5 linked regions of the Danio rerio genome follow. The protein of the gene in region 3 purifies or fractionates together with the protein of the main gene of each other region. This does not show direct contact. Links are inferred from orthologs where the notes say so. Each region holds a gene or a part of one and is shown on either strand. Other genes may lie near its edges.

The links.
Region 1: the proteins of psmb3 (region 3) and psme3 purify together in Homo sapiens (affinity purification with mass spectrometry; 4 studies listed by BioGRID and IntAct, with this or other methods). This does not show direct contact. The link is inferred for Danio rerio from reciprocal best matches to the Homo sapiens genes PSMB3 and PSME3.
Region 2: the proteins of psmb3 (region 3) and fbxo7 purify together in Homo sapiens (affinity purification with mass spectrometry; 4 studies listed by BioGRID and IntAct, counting the BioPlex papers as one, with this or other methods). This does not show direct contact. The link is inferred for Danio rerio from reciprocal best matches to the Homo sapiens genes PSMB3 and FBXO7.
Region 4: the proteins of psmb3 (region 3) and psme2 purify together in Homo sapiens (affinity purification with mass spectrometry; 3 studies listed by BioGRID and IntAct, counting the BioPlex papers as one, with this or other methods). This does not show direct contact. The link is inferred for Danio rerio from reciprocal best matches to the Homo sapiens genes PSMB3 and PSME2.
Region 5: the proteins of psmb3 (region 3) and psme1 purify together in Homo sapiens (affinity purification with mass spectrometry; 4 studies listed by BioGRID and IntAct, counting the BioPlex papers as one, with this or other methods). This does not show direct contact. The link is inferred for Danio rerio from reciprocal best matches to the Homo sapiens genes PSMB3 and PSME1.

The regions. Positions count from the first base shown.
Region 1 is NC_133187.1:29,024,208-29,028,516, forward strand, and holds the start of psme3 (proteasome activator complex subunit 3), read right to left. Parts: upstream 2,808-4,309; 5' UTR 2,691-2,807; coding exon 2,649-2,690; intron 2,046-2,648; coding exon 2,013-2,045; intron 1,912-2,012; coding exon 1,849-1,911; intron 1,012-1,848; coding exon 907-1,011; intron 793-906; coding exon 744-792; intron 1-743. UniProt on the Homo sapiens protein: Subunit of the 11S REG-gamma (also called PA28-gamma) proteasome regulator, a doughnut-shaped homoheptamer which associates with the proteasome. 11S REG-gamma activates the trypsin-like catalytic subunit of the proteasome but inhibits the chymotrypsin-like and postglutamyl-preferring (PGPH) subunits.
Region 2 is NC_133179.1:953,648-956,198, reverse strand, and holds the end of fbxo7 (F-box only protein 7), read right to left. Parts: exon of another isoform or gene 2,234-2,551; intron 2,166-2,233; exon of another isoform or gene 2,029-2,165; intron 1,026-2,028; coding exon 738-1,025; 3' UTR 508-737; downstream 1-507. UniProt on the Homo sapiens protein: Substrate recognition component of a SCF (SKP1-CUL1-F-box protein) E3 ubiquitin-protein ligase complex which mediates the ubiquitination and subsequent proteasomal degradation of target proteins and plays a role in several biological processes such as cell cycle, cell proliferation, or maintenance of chromosome stability.
Region 3 is NC_133181.1:17,508,475-17,512,560, forward strand, and holds the start of psmb3 (proteasome subunit beta type-3), read right to left. Parts: upstream 2,818-4,086; 5' UTR 2,685-2,817; coding exon 2,682-2,684; intron 561-2,681; coding exon 376-560; intron 271-375; coding exon 163-270; intron 1-162. Other genes in the region: uncharacterized protein si:ch73-193c12.2, read left to right, coding at 3,134-3,161, 3,353-3,446, 3,522-3,609. UniProt on the Homo sapiens protein: Non-catalytic component of the 20S core proteasome complex involved in the proteolytic degradation of most intracellular proteins. This complex plays numerous essential roles within the cell by associating with different regulatory particles.
Region 4 is NC_133187.1:13,890,629-13,894,765, reverse strand, and holds the start of psme2 (proteasome activator complex subunit 2), read right to left. Parts: upstream 2,814-4,137; 5' UTR 2,740-2,813; coding exon 2,692-2,739; intron 2,386-2,691; coding exon 2,353-2,385; intron 2,259-2,352; coding exon 2,196-2,258; intron 2,028-2,195; coding exon 1,941-2,027; intron 1,849-1,940; coding exon 1,803-1,848; intron 1-1,802. UniProt on the Homo sapiens protein: Implicated in immunoproteasome assembly and required for efficient antigen processing. The PA28 activator complex enhances the generation of class I binding peptides by altering the cleavage pattern of the proteasome.
Region 5 is NC_133199.1:14,416,727-14,419,802, reverse strand, and holds the end of psme1 (proteasome activator complex subunit 1), read right to left. Parts: intron 1,134-3,076; coding exon 1,079-1,133; intron 991-1,078; coding exon 904-990; intron 783-903; coding exon 696-782; 3' UTR 518-695; downstream 1-517. UniProt on the Homo sapiens protein: Implicated in immunoproteasome assembly and required for efficient antigen processing. The PA28 activator complex enhances the generation of class I binding peptides by altering the cleavage pattern of the proteasome.

The sequences.
Region 1 (4,309 bases), on a different chromosome or scaffold from region 3:
AAGCAGCATGATATCAAATCTAGTATGATTTCATAAACTACACAGCATCCCGATATTCACAGAATTCAGGCAAACTTTAGCATAAAACCATACATTGTATAATCAAAAATTATAAAAAATGTAATACCTTGCAAAATAGCATTCAACACTTTGAGGGCCTTAAATTTCTCTACATTAATTGATCAACTTTTAATACTTTAAGACACACTGTACAAACAGGAACTTTAGTATAATGTAAAGAAGAGTGAGGGCTGGATCTGTCAGCACAGCAGAGCACATGGAAAAGAGAGGAAAAAAGACAAACGAAAAACAAACAAAACAACAAACAAACAAGATCTCCGTTTTTATTTTTTCCCCCAGTAAATTTCAACAGTATTTTGCAGAGTGTTTGGCCTGTCATGAATAAAACACAGTCATGATTATACAAATACAACTCTAAAACAGCCAGTAGGGGCAGCAAAAAGTTTAAATGAATTGAAACCTGTCTTTAGGAAGAGTAAAATGATTAATGCAAAATACATTCACCCAGGGCCAAAACACCAGTGTTGCACTGAGAATTGCTCATAAATATTTATTTATAGTTAATATAAATATTCTTTGCATAAATATAAAAAACAGAATGAAATATTTCCCAGTTTCAATATGAGCATTTAATAAAACAAGTATGTGTTATCATTGACAATCAACACTGCACACTTTCAAAACATATTTGTTTAACTTGGTAAACTAAAGACAATACCCACCTTTGTCGTCTCCTGCTCCATCTTCAAATTTCCTCTTTTTAGCATTTTGCTATTGAGAAAAATGTCAAGGTTATCTTTTTATCATATTCAGAGATTTTTGATCAACATCAATAGATGATATGACTGACTAATGAAGAAGACACTTGAAGAAAATGACTTTTACCCCCTCAATCCCATCGTGGATGTCTGTAAGCAGAATTGGGTCTGGCACTGTCAGATTGATCTCTGAATGAATTTCCTGCAGCTCCGTGATATTAATTGTGGGATCCTACAAGTGATCAAATGTATGAGTGTTTGTACAACAGGTAAAAGACTCAATGCATCATTTTGGGGTTTCAGCCCCTTTTAAAACAACATCTGGGTTTCACCAAGTAAAATTTAAGATTTTTTTAGACCATTACGAATTAAATTGCAAAATTTTACAAATGCTAAGGATTATTTTTAAATATCCCAGTTAGAAAAGATTTTCAGTTGCCCTATAACTTTTTTTGTAATGTAATACATTTAACAAAACAATTATAATATTAATAATTTAGTTTGATTTTTTTAAATAATTGTCAAATATATCCATTCACAAACTCTAAAGCCCTTACAAATATCAGAACAAAACATAGCTGTCAATTACTTCAGTCTACAAAAATAATAAAAAATATAAGACAGTCTCCTGTGTTAGACCATGGGCTGTATTAGCCACACCAACTTTTTGGGTTGGGTTTTCTCATTGAAAAACTTTTCCAAAGTAAAGTGAACTTCTAACAAAAAAACTGCAGAAACTTGTTTTAAGCATTATTATTTAAGTTTGATTTCTCAAAAGTCTGACTTTTCATTTCAAGATATGTAGCCGTTGAGATTTTTAAAGTTCTTCTTTAACATTTACAATGAAAAAAATAATTTTTCATAACAAGTCAATGTGATTTAATTGAAGGACGTTTAGATTTTTGTCCTGGACAACAAACTAAAAATCATTCAAATCATTGAAGTGCATGCAGCATTTAATCAAGACTTTGCAATTTTAAAACGTTCTGCTCCAATTTACGACTTTTTGCCTTCAATCTGAAGAGAGACAAAGCAAAACCCTGATCATAAACCACCATCAAACACTTACCTTCAAAAACTGGTCCAGTTCTAACAATTTCTTCGGGAAAAAGTTTGCAACCAAGTCTTCAGCCTATATGTCAACAATAAAACAATAAGTGTCAAATAGTCAAAGAAATGTCGGTATATAAATAATACATGTATAATTTATACATGTAATCTCCGTTAATTTACCTCTGATGTAATTCGTTCTCTAAAAGCATCAACCTGACAAGACAAAAACATTAATATGTAATTTTAGAAACACAACTAAGGCAATTCCCAATCTGAATTTTGCAGTCACTGCTTTTATTATTTTTAATAAAATCGCTTTAAGAAAACAAAACAGCTGGCGGCCTTTCTGTTTTAGGGCGCTGAATGTAGAACTGCACAATCCCGCTGGATTAATTTATTAGCCTCATGATCTTAACTGTAAACCTTTGACAAAATAAGTAGATATTAAAAATTACTTTTAGCTCGCTAATGGAAAAAAACGATGGCAAACTTCTCTCCAATTCTCCCGTAACGACATGCTGCTGTGCTAAAAACACGCTTCATCCGCACACCCGCTGTTAACAACGACTCCGCCGAACATGTGGGGGCTTCGGCTTCAGCTTGGTGATCTGATATATACAATCCGAACGTACTTAACGTTTAAATCAATATTTTATTTGAAAACTGTTTGATTTTACAAGCAAATCTGGATCTGAAAGTTAGCAGATGTGCTCACGAGGTGACTCACGGGCAAGCCGGCTAGCCGCAATGCTAACATTTACAAACAGTTTATTTGAGTGCGGCGTGTTTAAATAAAAGAAACGTTAAGACTTTTACCTTTGTTTTGATTTCATTGTCCACCTTCAGGAGCGAAGACATCGTATTAATTCAAGAAATGTGAAAATGAAGGGATTGTCCTAAAAGCATTAACTAACCGTGTGGCTTACTAACTGCTGTCAGCCACAAGGCACTTGCGCGCTTTTAGATGACGTAAAACACAGAGGCCATAGATGCGAATACATGATAGATGTGCAGAAAGAGTCTGGCATTCGTGACCAAATTCAGTCGAATTAATGCAACGACAACGCAGCTTATTCGTGTGCGGTTTGGCTGTATTCTAAATAGACACTGAAAAAAGTACTGGGTTATTTATTTGAACACATTGTTGGGTGAATTGTGCTGGATCAAAAGTATGGACTGTTTGATGTAGGCTACTATAAAACATTTGGGGTTTGCTGACCCAGTTTAAACTGGGCTTATTCGCTGATGAAAAGGTCAGGTCATTTTGATTTAGCTGGTTTATTAATTGCAAATTAGATAAAAAATTTATGGTTAATAGAATATATTAATGAACATGGGGGAAATAACAAACAAACAATAACAGAGATACTGTAATTTAAGTAATAATTATAACAATAATGAAAATAAATGACAAGAACAACATCAACAATCATCAATCAATAATCATAATAAACCATTATTTATTTATTTATTATTACCACTGTTGTTCTTGTAAGTAATAATAATAAAATAGAACATTAAGAATAATACTAGTAATAGAGTTTGACATTATGGCTACAAATTCTATTTCTCTCTTTAAAAGGTAAATCTGATCCCTGACGTGAATATCGCTTTTAACACGGTATCTATGTATTTTGATATATCTATGTTCTTGACGACTTGGAAAAGAGTGAAGCGCATGTCTGCGTCATATTTCTCGCTGTACATAAATTATTTGATGAAATCACAATATAAGTACCCACAAGAACAATTAAAAGCTTTCGCTTACCATTGAACAATTTTTATTTTGATATTTGATAAAAAGTATAAAAATATTTTGTTCGAACGTAAGCAAATCCGAGACACTTCCTGTGACGTACATTGGAGGCGTGTCTGAATCTAGCGATGTAAACAAGAACGCAAAAGACAAGTCTCACAGTGTTGACAGCACCACGGGCATTTAGAGCGTCGTATCCCCTCATCAAACGCTTCCGTTGACTCTGGCTCACAGACATGAACCTCCCCGTCACTGTCAAAGTGAACTTTAGGGGCAACGTGAAGAAATTTCCAGTCTTGGACACGAACAAAGCACAGTGGGAGACTGTGGAGGCCTGGGTAAGGAGTCATTAAGCCTTGCTGGGTGGCGTTTATGTGGGGACGTTTACATTTCTTGGTCCTACAAGGCCGTAGCTGAGGCCTACATAAACAAACCTTTAACCGGATGCTAAAAACGAATAACGTACAGGCAAATTCTTTAATCCTGTCATAGAAAATATGTCTTAACATGTATTTTAGCTGGGTCTTCTTTTAAAATCCACAGTGATGTAAATTGCAGCAATATCTATTATTTGCTCTTGACCTTTCTGTTCGGCCATAAATCAGATGACAGCTTCTAAATAAACACTAACGATGTAAAATATCGTTCTCGTTTTAATCTTACTGTGCCTTCTTTACATTTTCTGTTTATAACTTTTAGATTAAAACTACTTTCGGCTTGA
Region 2 (2,551 bases), on a different chromosome or scaffold from region 3:
ACATACACACACACTGAACAATATATTGTTTGAGCATGGATATTACAATGTGTGTATCTGCAATAGTCACATCTAAGCATTACATTTTCTATAACAGATTAAAAGATAAACATTACATTTTATATATATTTTCCACTTATACAATGCTAAACACATTTTTCTTTCAATTTAATGTCTGTACTTAAATACTGTTAGACTTCCCAGAAAACAATAAGGCTGTTTATTAATTTATTATTGCTTGTAATTTCTTATAATTGATGCTTATGCACTGCAAAGACGAAGACTTCATGCCAGTTGAGGTTATTTTATGAAATCTTTCTAATTACAGCTAGTCAAATCATCTGATATCGCAATGTCAGCTTTTTCCAATATTGTGCAGCTCTAACACATCAAATAAAGATAAAAACAATAGCAACTAAATAAGACAGATCTTTTTTTGTTGATGAAAGTTTCAACTGCAATAAAATACATTTATATTCAAAATAAAAGCACATGGAGCAACAGTGATGAGGAGAAGCAGGCTTGACTTTATTTACTATCAATTCAGATTTGAGCAACAATCAAATACAATCAATCAAAATTAATCATTACAGTCACCACACCACTTAATCCACTCATTTCTCCAACACATGTGACGCTTTCATAAAGAATAGTGTCAGTCAATTTTTCCAGTTTGCTTGCGTTTATCCGTCAGGAATGTTAAATTGCAGAAAAATAAGAGTCAAATGCCTGCGTGCTCAGATAAACGCTCTCCTCACGTCTGCTGCTCCACTTCCTGCCGGCCTCAGACTGCGCCGGCCTACAGGAGCACTCATTCCTGGGAGTGGCCCAATGGGGTGGAAGCGTGGCCGAGGAAGGATGACGGGCATCTGGTCATAGTCTCCACCGATGATGCCAGGAGGGTAGAGTGGCAGCGGTGCCGGTGGGGATGGAAAAGGGATCAGAGGGCTGATGGGAGGTGGATAAAACCAGTGTCTTCCCCGCCGCGCCGCCTCCTTCCTCTGCCTGTACTTCTGCTTGTACAGCTGAGGAGGACAAACAACATTAAAGGCCACATATGATGCAACGCTTGTCAGCACAGGCTACTCAATCAGCCAAATCACTCAGCTTTCAGCACAAAATGGACATATTCTGCAATTTAATGAATCTGATGACACTAGATTTCTTACATCTTGTAAACAGGTCAAATGGGAGCCCTTTAATATTTAATGGCATACAATGTTCATCTGTAGCTGCTGCTGTTCTACATGAACATAATAGACTGCATAAATGATTATAATAGATCAGCATTAAATCACTTCACCCCCTTTTAAAAGTAAACATCTTTATCCAGTTCTCAGCGGATATATATAATATTAGGTGCGAAGCAGATTTATTAAACAGTTCTAGCCTATGAAATAAGACTTTAGTCACTGTACATCTATAGGAATATAAAGATCAAACACAATTGTAATCAATAGGAAAAAATCTAGAGAAACAATGGAAGAAATGTAGGTGATTTTTTTTCCCTTTCTCTTAAATGCATTAGATTTCCCCTCATATCTAAATATATGTGCAATAATGTTCACACTGATCTTCAGATATTTCGATAGATTAGTTGATCAGTTTTGTATTTGGTTCTGACTAATCTTTTAACATTCTGATGTATATGCACACGTTACTGTACAGCATCCTGTAGAAAATATTATTATTATTTTTTGTTTTTTTACAATGGCTATGACAGTCTTTTCAATAGATGTGACAAGTTTCCTAAACTCTTAACACGGTTAGCACATTCATCTGCGTGACCCATACAATTAACACATTTCTTGTTGCTTTAATACAAAATGCATCCACTTACCACCAATTTAAAATGCTTGAACTTCTTTTACAAACAAGCTCAACCAAGACCAAAACTATGTCATGTTACAGTCAAATTTACAAATGCTTCCAAGCAGTATGTCAGAGCCGATAACACCATGCTCTAACCATAACTTGTCAAAGTGAACAGTTGTAAATATTGCCATTGAAACGCTAATTCATTCCCTATATTTTATTCCACTGCCAATGAGAAACAGCTAATTGGATAAAGCATGCCAAAGGATTCTTCCCACGATGCAAAACATGGCCAAATGCAGAAGACCGGGCAGAATGAAACATAACTTTGTTTTTGTTTTGTTTTTTCACTATAATTGCATTGCTTTTCTGATGTGATTATCTTGCAGTGGTGTCCTTTTGCAAATAAAGTCTGTACTGCAGCAATTCTGTGTCTGTATGTATTTTTTTACATAAGCTGTACATTGTATAAAGCTACTCTGAGACGGTCGCTCATTTATTGTATAGAATTTCTCCAACAAAAGAAACAAAATGCCTGCGTTTACTAAAGCCAACAACACAAAACTGTAGAGAGGCTTCAAATATAAGAGCAGAGCTGACACATACAATACTGCAGCTGATGAGTGTGTTTTATCATCAGTGTGTTCTGATTGACTAAATGTTCCTGTTGGAGGAGAGCATGTGTTGGTGTTTTGAATAGTGATTTGATTTTGAAACATGTTTGCAGTGTTTCGTC
Region 3 (4,086 bases):
ATAACTGAACCACTTTCTTGAGTAGACCTTTGATCCCTTAGCATAGGCTGCAGTAATGTAAAGTAGGTTTTAGCTTCAAATAAGAGTTTGTAATATTGTGATTCACCTTGTAACTGGATAATTTGGTTCATAAATTATAATTCTTCAGAAGTGCATTTTTACCTCCTCTCATACAGAAGATTGGACACCATGCTCATGAAGGTCCTTGGCTTGATCTGACGACCTTCTTTCAGCTCATACAGGTTCAGGCGGAACTTCAGCCTTTGAGATCTAGAATAAAGGAAAAAGATTTTAAAAGACTAGTTTAGAAACAAATAAAAAGGCACGAGTTGAGTTTCATTTGATAAGATCTTTACACATTTGATGCATTCTTACACTGTCTGCACATCTGTGGCAAGGCCTGCCAGTCCGATGTAGAGTCTCTCTCCCATAGGAAAGATCTTCTGGAAGTCAGTGGTAACCAGCTGCGCCTGGATGCCAAACCTCCGGTCTGATGCTATCGCCACACACTCCTTTCCACGCATTGCCATGACGGCACCTCCGTTATATGACATAATAGACTATAGACAGAAAAGAAACAATTACAGATACATATTTCGAACTGTCATTATAAACATAAACATGTTGTCATCATCATTGTACCACAATACACATGGTAAAGTCTAGATAGGTTACAGCTGTTGATACGATACATACATCAATATAGCATCATTTTTGTAACACTGTATAAAAATAACTAATATTTTTACAGTACTGTGACAGTTGAGTTTAAGGTTAGGGTAGAAGTTAATAAAATACAATAAATGGGAAATTTTATAAATAATTCTTGTTAACTTCTGGCCCCAACCGTATCTGATCTAGCAACAACCAACACACACTGCAATCAATAACATTCAATTGTATGCTATATTAAAATAAATAACATTATATAATATTTTTGAGGGAAAAGTACTTTTTATTTACTCATGTACTAATGTAAATTAAAAAAAAAAAAAAAAAAAAATATATATATATATATATATATATATATATATATATATAGTTCTTTTATTAATTTCAGTATTATTGAATATTATGTAGGTTTACATAATTTATTTGCATTACAGTTTGTAAGGTAATATCTTCTGTCTTTTAGTAGATATCTCATATATATTTTGAGACTTTTAACCAATATAAGTTAAAAAGTGATTTGTTTTTTCGTGTTTTAAGTTTAGTTACTATACTCTCAAAATCATTCCTCATTACCCTGCAGATATTTATTTTAACAAAGGTATGCACATAAATAGCAAAAAATGGCCACAGATCCTACAACTAATAATTTAGTTATAATGGATTTAATAACTAAACAATATTTTGCAGTGTGTTTTGTGTTTGTACCTTGTCTTGCATTCATATCAGAAATGCTTATAAAAGTGATAAACTCAAAAGAGGGTAATGCGGAATTTCCATTTTAACACTGATACAATTTAAAAGTATGTATGTATTAAATAAAATAAAGAAAGCACGCCTATGATTAGCGATCAACATCCACATTTAACTTAACATATTAATTATGCGCAAAAATAGAAAAAAATGGCTGCAGATTCTACTATAACTGCATTACCAAGAAAAAAAAAAGATTGCATTTCTTAACTCCTAATGTCACGAGTTAAACACATTTTTTTCAACATCGCATAATTTCTAAAATATCAATCTCTACCGAATGGTTAATATGTCGGTTTACGGTAAAAGTACCAGAATTAATTATATATAAATATACTTTAAAATCTGAAAATATGAAGTATAAGACTATTTTTTTTACAATAAAAACCAAAATCAAGTGTAGTAGTGCAACAGTATTATGTTTTTTTTTTTTGTAAACCAACCATAGTGTGTAGTGTAAATCATTATTTAAAACGGACAATATTTAAAACAGTAAAGGTAAAAATAACTAGGTGAAGTTGGTTTTATCTTCGCACAAATTCGTTCAGTGACATTTTGCGACATTGTCCCTATATTGTTTACCAAATACTTTTTAAAATTCGGTGTGAAATTACATGCAAGCATGACTTCAAAACAACACCAGCACTAATTCACTGACTGTGAATCATGTTGTACTTTGATAGTTATTGGCTGCTAATATCATTTCACAATATAGAATTCGCAAATACTACATTATTGACATTTTATTATTAAGGAGAAGGTCAGCATGTCTGAATATAAAACCAACAATAGAGCAGGCATTTAAAGTGTCAACAACTAATGTTAAACGACAGCTTGCTGCTTTTGTTTTCGTGTTCGTACCTCGCCTGACGTTTATATCTGAAATGTTTATAAAAGTATTATTATAAGGGGGACATTTAAAATTGATATATTTAATAAAGCACGTCTATGATTACCGATCAACATCTATAATTAACACATGCAGTGAAACAGTTACTTTCGATTTAACGTTAAATGTGATCGATTCAAATAATCCATTAAAATATTATCTACTCGCCCCATTTAACTAAAACTCACTATTCAGGGGTGCTTATCAACTTATTAAAGTTACATAATAAAGACAATATAGCCTTCATGTTAGAATAAAACATTCTATAGCAACTTTCATCCGGAAAGATGAGATGGCAAATGAGCTACAGTGCTAATACAGACGATTGTATTCAACAAGAGAACTTAATCCTTTACGCATGCTGACTTACCATGATGGCGGATGTAAAAGTAGGGACCAATATGAAGAATTATTTGGAAAAATACGACTGTTGTGCTGAAATATACAACAGTAGACCGGGTAACACACGGTGACTACACACTTTCTTTCAAGCGCTGCTAGTTGTTCCTGCTGGTTGCGTCATTTCCGACTTACGCATTCCCTACAGCGCCTCTGCTGGACAAAATACTTAGCTGACTGTAATTTTTTTTTCTTTTACATTACTATTCTAAAGGTTTAAAATACTGTTTGATTCATACTCTTATAATATATTAAGCTAGAGAATTTTGTTTTACCTAAGTCACGGAAGACAACAACTGAATAAAAGTTTCTTGTACTTCACCATCTATCGACAGAGGGCAGTAATGCGCTGTCTTCATTCTAAATCCACACTAGTGGGAAAAGGACAGAAGAAAACAATGCCAAACAAATCACTAAACTAAAATGGGCTCAGAGGAAATGATTTTTAAATGTAAGTTGACAGTTTTCAAAACGTCCAAACGTGTCCCTCAATGAGTAGACTTATATGTTTAACGATGCTTCCTGCACGTAATACTTCACCAGTAATAACCGCATGCTTATGAAGCACGTCGTGTTTTTATCCATGTAATTCATTCTATTTTCAAGTAACTGTATATTTACCAGTCATCTCTGTGCATTTAGGGACTGATGCCAACACGGCAGATCTGATTGTGTGGAGAGTCACTAACAACAGTCTGTTTACTGGCAGGAGAAATGCAGCCATTAAAGCATACGAGTGAGTCAAAGCTGTCCTTGTTTTACTGAAAACTAATATCTTTCATTCGTCTTACTTGATGCTTTCAATCTACAGGTTGTATGTGAAAGAGAAACAACTGCAAGGGAAAGTGGCACCTACGTGGGTTCGAAAGAAATGGGAGAATCTAAAACAGAAGTATAAGGTGAATTGTTTCATTCATGCATTCAGACATCTTCAGAGATTCTTTAAAGGTGACCTATTATGCCCTTTTTTATAAGATGTAAATTAAGTCTCTGGTGTGTATGTTAAGTTTCTGCTCAAAATACCACACAATTAATGTTTTAGGACTCTTTAAAAACAACCCATTAGGCTTTGATCCACATTGTGCGGTTTTGGTGACTGTCACTTTAAATTTAAATGAGATGATCAAAAAGACCCCCAAAAGAGGGTGGAGCTATAAACGCCTATGCATTAACATAGTGGCAGATTTAAAACTCTAATTATGTGTTCACACCAAAGGCTATTCAAACGTAAATAGACGCATGGACATTTTCAGTTTTATAGCTTCATTTGTGCATAAAAATCACTTCACAATAGACACGGATTCACGTCATGGCCTGGGCTTATGTCTGCTTGGTGAATTTATTTATGGATTTTATTGAGATAATACCTGTGTTTA
Region 4 (4,137 bases), on a different chromosome or scaffold from region 3:
TGTTTTAAGATCTGTGTGACACCCTTGTTTACTATCCAGAAATATAAAAGTTTACAGTTAACATTAAACAGTTTCCATAAATTAGCAAGCTACCAAATAGTACCTGAATATAACCCCAGTCACCACCAGGAGGTGGTATAAAAAAAATTTGCTTACACAATTCAAAATAATTGTTTTAAACTTGAGAGCTTGATAACGCCTTCCATTCCACTAGCAAAGCTGTAAGCGTTAAGTGCATAACGTTTTCAAAACTGACACTTTGTATCAGCTGAATAAGGCCCAATCCCAATTCTACCCCTTAGCCCTTCCCCTTACCCCCCTTACTAAAGTTCTCTTTAGCTTGAAGGCTAAATAGCCCTTGAAACAGATTTTTCGAAACCACACTCCTAACTAATAGGTACAAAATATGCACACAGAAGTCAGTAGATGCACGAATTAGTATTTTTTGTCAACAACATACAAACATATGTTTTAATACATTCATAACAGCATTTGTGTTTTACCGTCATGCTTTAAAAAAAAACTTTCAAAAAAAAAAAAAAAAACCCCGCTAAATTTTTCTATCTATAATCCATAATAATAACTCCTGTATAGTAGTCCCACAACATAAATTTACATCTGTCACTCGAATACCCTGTCAGAAAATTCTGGTGTCGGGGTATAACTAGGGTCTATGCATATGGCCACTGTGTAACAGTGCAAAGTACTTATTGCCACATTATATCGTTTTGATAGCATGATATCTTTGCCTTCAGTGACTTCCTGAAGATAAATACCCAAAAATAACACAATTGGAATAACTACAGCAGTTGTAATCCTCGATCTTATATGAAGATATCGCGGCAACATATGATGACGTGTGCAGGTGTTGTAATGGTTTACCAATTCTAAGGGGTAAATTTTGGAGTCCTTTCCCCTCAGACTTGGTTTCAAGGACCAAGGGAAAGGAGTGGGGGTACAGAAATAGAATTGGGATTGGGCCTAAGTGCATGATGCAGGTATTTAAAGAGTGTTTTTCTAAAGTGTATGGCATGGTTGAACAGAATAGAGCATAATTGTGCAATTTAGGACACACCAAATGATTTTGAATGTTTGGGAATCAGAAAAGACTTGTCGGTGACTAACCTTTTGTGCCCTGACAAAACTTTGATGACTGGCTTTGAACACCAGACAAATCAGACACAGGACATTGCAAATAGACTAGATCAAATTCCTACACAGATCCTCTAAATCTGCATTGTCATCTAACACCAAAAACAAAATTGTCCTTATTGAGTTCACATGACCAGCCAGATACAGCTGTGTGTGTGTTCTTGGCTATGTTTATAATGACACAGGTATTACAAAATTAACATGGTTCAACTTAAAAATTACAAAAACACATGATGCACCTACTTGCAATCATTGCAAATGAACATGCTCTTCCAGAATTAGGTTTTATAGTCACAGCAGGTGATGTAACTCAGCAAATAAAGATCCCATGGCATAGATTCCATTGTCTTACGAGACAGAATCATGCCAATAATTAGTTAAACTGCAGAAATATGGTTCTAGTAACTAGCTGCCAATAGGTAAATGCAGCTAACATTAGCTTTTAGTACGGTATTTGTTTAGTAACACATAATTTCTGCGCCAGTTTTTACATGTTTTCAGCCATTTATCTTACACGTACATCACTGGTAGTTACTATTATTCCACTACTAAAAATAGTTTTTACTTCCTGTGGTTCAAACATGCTGAAAAGTAATAGTTGGAGAAATTGTGAAACCCGTCACGTATGTGTGTGTGTGTGTACACATTACCTTTCTTCTTTTTCTCATCATCTTCATTTTTATCTGTCTCCATCTCCTATTGAAATATTTTACATACATATTGTCATAATTAATATTTGTAATATTAATTCAGAAAGCATAATTATCAATATTGAGCTGCATGCCAACCTCGTCCTCTGGGGCAGGGGGATCAGGAATGGGTATGTCCAGGGGTGCATGGAGAGATGAGAGGTCAGTGATACTAAACTCATCGCCCTAAAATCATAAAGAAATATTTTAATTCAGTTGTTGCTGAATTCAAGCTAAAACAACTCTGTTGAGCTGGAACAGGGTAATGATGAGTTCATTTAAAGACACATATAGCCTAGTGTTTATTAGCATGTAGTCACATCTGCCAAATAATCAAATGTTCGCAAAATATACCTTCAGCAGGTTGTCAAGGTGTGAGATCTTCAATGGTATGTAATTGGAGAACAGGTCTTCTGCCTGTCAACAAAAGAACTATCAGTCAACACAAACAACAGTGCAGCAACAAGACTGAATGCAGCCTATGTTTGGATTATCTGAAGTAAACTCATACCTGCTTATACAGTGACTGGCGGTAGTTTTCTATCTGGATGAAGATAAGACAAACGTTCAATTACAATTCATTTATCTTAGAAATTATTTTTCTACAAGCATCGCGCTTCAGGTAAAGTTACTTTCACTTTCACTGTCAATGAGGAAGTGTGACTCAGGATTTTTGTAACATATAAATTGAGATATTAAGCAGTTGTTACGTTCGATAACATCCATACATTCGACAAAAAGACCTTTAAAACGTCTTACAGGTTCCATACTCAATGCACAGCTTAAACAAACGGTTTTTACTTCGAGTTTGTAAACGGAGATTATATAAAGATTATAAAGATGAACTTACCCTCACTGCATTATCAGAGTTTAGCTTCAGTACATTAGCTTTAGACATAATGAAAGCAATTTGTCTTAATAAGCGAAGCAGGTCGCAAGCAGAGAGACGCAGACGTTTAGATGACAAATTTCCCTTCGCGATACTTTCGATTTCTAAACGACGCCCACTGGGTTCACGTCAGGACTCTGGGTAAGTACCGGTGAACTACCAAAAATATGCATTTCCATATTACTGTCGAAAATGTTACAACACCCATTTCTATCTGTTTTTATTTAATACAGAAATATGACAATTTTATAAGAAATAAGGAATCGTCATTCAACCAATGCCTTGATAATTAACACAAATAGCAATTAATAGCTTAAACGTTATGTTTATGTAAAAGCAGAGACAGAACACAAGATAAAGAGAAAAAATAAAATTAAAATTGAGCGCCACAAAATCCTAATGGAATATGTCCCAAACTATGCACTATTATTAATTATTATAATTATTATTCATATAGATTATTGTTATAATGGCTTCTCCTTTTCCTCAAGCACGGTCGTTTTGGGGAAAAATCAAGCCCTGCAGGCGGCAGTAATGCGTGATTTGTGCAAAAGCACGACCATGACGTCACGAAGAAGAAACAACGCCGCAGTCATCCTCAATGTCCGTTCGCTTTTATGAAGTGTTTATGAAGTAAACAGCAAAATATTTCTGTTTTAATTTGTTTGATTTAATCAGTGGATTTTTTTATTTGACTACTACAAAAGGGAAGAACAATATAAGGGTGAGTGTATTCTTACGAAGCTTTTATATGAGGAATAAAGCGTTTACTGCTAAATTAAATGTTGTCTTCGATTGACATAAAGAGCCTTGATTTGATTGCGTAGATTTTAGATTTTATTATGCCTTTTTTGTTGTGAATTCTTGGAATTTCTGCCAATTTTCTTTCATCCTCCATATAAAACGCTTGTCTAAGGGGGGTGTCTGGGATGCTGGAATTTATCCGTCGTCCTGGGCTGAATGCTGGGGAACATCCTGGTCAGATTGGCAGTCAATCTCAAGACTAACGATATATTGGACACATACACATTTCTACACACAAGCAATACTGTTTCAAATTAATCTAACCTTCACCTAGAGGAAACCCACTTCAACACAGGAAAAACATACAAAATTAACATAAACGGGCCTTTAAACGGGCAGTTGTTAAACTTGGCAAAAGATCTCCTTGATATCTAAAATAACGTGGTGTATTAGTTTTTGAGTAAATGTTTAACAAGCACCTGTTACTGTTAGTATCGGAAGAAAATATTTTCTTGACAGTTTAGACATACAAATCCAAATGACAAGTCTAAAATTAAACGTAAAACATTTTAAATAGTTAGTTTGAAGCTCTCAGCAAGAAAATGCAGGTTTTTAAAGAGCAGAGTGAAATAAAAAAGTAGTTCCACAAAAATAAAACACCAA
Region 5 (3,076 bases), on a different chromosome or scaffold from region 3:
TAAGGGAATATTGTGAAGAGTTTCTAAACATGTACATCATGTGAATATATGTTTCACATAGAGAGCTAAAAATATATATATAATGCCTGTAAAGATCAAGTTTGCATTTTGTACATAGAGAATGATAAGCCCCCTTTAAAATTTAAATTTCACAGTATGTATGATAATATTTTTTCCTCTGGAAAAAAATGTGTTTGTTTTATTTCGGCTACAATAAAAGCAGTTTTTAATTTTTTAAACATCATTTTAGGGATAAAATTATTAGCCCCTTTAAGCTATATTTTTTCTCGATAATCTACAGAACAAACCACTGTTATACAATAACATTCCTGATTACCCTAACCTTCTACTTAACTTAATGAACCTAGTTAAGCCTTTAAATGTCTCTGTAAGCTGTATAGGTGTCTTGAAAAATATATTATTTAATGTCATCACTTGATCTTTACAAGCATTTATAATTTAAAAGTAAGTATTTTTTTCACTTGACCTTTTCAATAAAAACACAAGTGACACCCTATTTAGCCTAAACTATTTATTGAATTAAAAACTGTAATACAGCACATTCTGTTGATGTAATCGTATCTCAAGTCACTGCACTGTGACTGTGGTTATGAAACTCAATACGGCATGTTTTACTTTTCAGTAAATGTGTGTGTGTTTGCGTGTGTGATTTCAGTGCACATCAGCCTGGTTGCTCAGTAGATAAGTGCTTTTGAAGATAAGTCTCCCCTGGGCTTCTTAATCTTGTCAAAGTTCTTGGTGATGACATCATACAGCATGGCCTAGAGTCGAAGGAATGGATGAAATCAGTCACAGCCATCTTACAGACTCACCAACTTACATGAATGATGAGAAATGCAGCACTGAGATGTTGTTTTCAGGGAAAGCCGAGACAGAACTTACGTAAGTGTTGCGAATCTCCAGAACTATGATGCGTAACTCACAATACTGGTGCTGATCCAGTTCATGAACAAGCTGTCGGAAATCTCCCTGTTGCCCAGAAGAAAAGCAGGGTTAAAATCATTATCAGAAGCTCAAAGCATATACAAAAAAAGAACTAACAATAAATTAAACTGACCACATGTGGCTGTTTGGAAGCCTTGGCTACAGCGTCTCCTCTCTCACTGTAGTACCTGAGGAAACAACAAAACTGTTTTTTACCCTTATAAAACATTATAACTTTTAAAACACCTTCACTTTGCACACTGCTTCATTTACCCAGCTTTAACTAATAATCCAGGGTTATCAATCAGGGTTATCAATCAATCTTCCGACCAATCCATATCCGTTTCCAGACAAAAAAAAAAGGAAAATGAAGAAAACGGGCGTTTTTCTGTTTTTCATTTGCTCACAAGAAACGAAAAAACTATATTTTTGCTCGATTTTCATTTTTTTTTATTTAGGGTAGGAAAATGGATAAACTACTTCAAAATTCATTATACACATGTAGATTATTAATAAGGACTAAACTATTAATTACTGTTATTCTCCAGATGAAAAAGGCTTGATTAAAGTCCTGTCATTTTAAAGATTTTCTACAATTTAAGCAGAATTAGGTTAAAGAAAACTTAATTCAGAATGCATGAATTTCTGTGCGTATCACACGCTTTACGAGCGCACTTGCCTTTTTTATTATTTTATGCAATAGTAAATGCATAAAATAAAATGCAAACAGTTGGCAGCACGGAATAGTAGCCTATATACAATATTTATATGTGCAATATGGAACTGGGCCCGCTGTATTACATAGTTTGGTCACAAAGAGCAAATGTCAAGTTCAATATTAGCGCAACGCACAGACAGAAAGCTTATCTGTTAGTCTAAACTACAACACATTATTTATTATGAATTATAAGTATGTGTTTAATTAGTTTCTCTGAAAATTTGTTCATTAATCCAGTGTTTTCGAAATCCAAGTCTCAAAAGTCTTGTTGTGTGAGAAAACACATGTGAAATAGGCATTGCGGCTGACCGTATTGTATTGACCTTAACTTTTTTTAGTTCAGCTCTTAAATGAGTTGGCTATACCTAAGATGTTGCTCGTGCACAGCCAACGATCCTATTGTATTTTATTTAAACCCACTTATTTAAAATATTCAGTATAGCCTGCCCTGGGCTAGGCCTATATATATATATATATATATATATATATATATATATATATATATATATATATATATATATATATATATATATATATATATATATAGCCGAAACAAAACCAGTAGGAGGAACTAAAGTAATTTTAAATATAGTAACCTTTGTTGTAGCTACTGAGCCCTATTTAAAAAATTAAACAATTAAAAACAGTAAGTGAACAATATTAAATATTATTATTATTAGTATTATTATTGTTATTTAGGCCTACAGTAGCTCGGAAACAATCATGCAAACCAGATGCTGCTTGAAAATGGCTGTCTTTGCTCAGCATCAGGTGCAAAACAGCAAGATGTTTGGTGATTCAAATGAAAATGGAAAAACGGCAGTTTTCTTCATTTTCCTTTTTTTGTTTGAAAACGGATATCGATTGGATGGAAGATACCCTGTTTTTTATCATACTGATGTTTCAAACTTAAATAAAGGATTCAATTAAATTTGGTACTAAGCAACAGCTTAAATTTTAACTTACTTCGTAAAGTATGCTCTATATGACATGGTACATGGTGCATGGTACATCAGCAAGTATTTCATTAAGATTATGTTTAATGTGGTTATTATTTTTTTTGCCAGACAACAGCAGTGTATTTTATAAACTATAAATGCTAGTTTTGCAATTAATAATGTGTATTTCAATGTCAGAAACCTAATTTAAGTTTAATGTGATTGAAAACCCTGATAAGTTGTGATAGATGTTAAGCATGCCTCACATCAACACTCCAGCCCTTGTGGGAAAGCAGATTTAAATTTAGCAACTGATCGTGTGACACACTGATTGACACCACTATTCACACCACTGTTATGTTCACTTCAGATTTTAGCCTAGACTGACCACACGTTGTAGTGAACTCATCAATGGTTAATGAGCAACTACCGAGGAGGAAGAGGATGTTTGCTAGTTTAGAATGATGACGAGTAA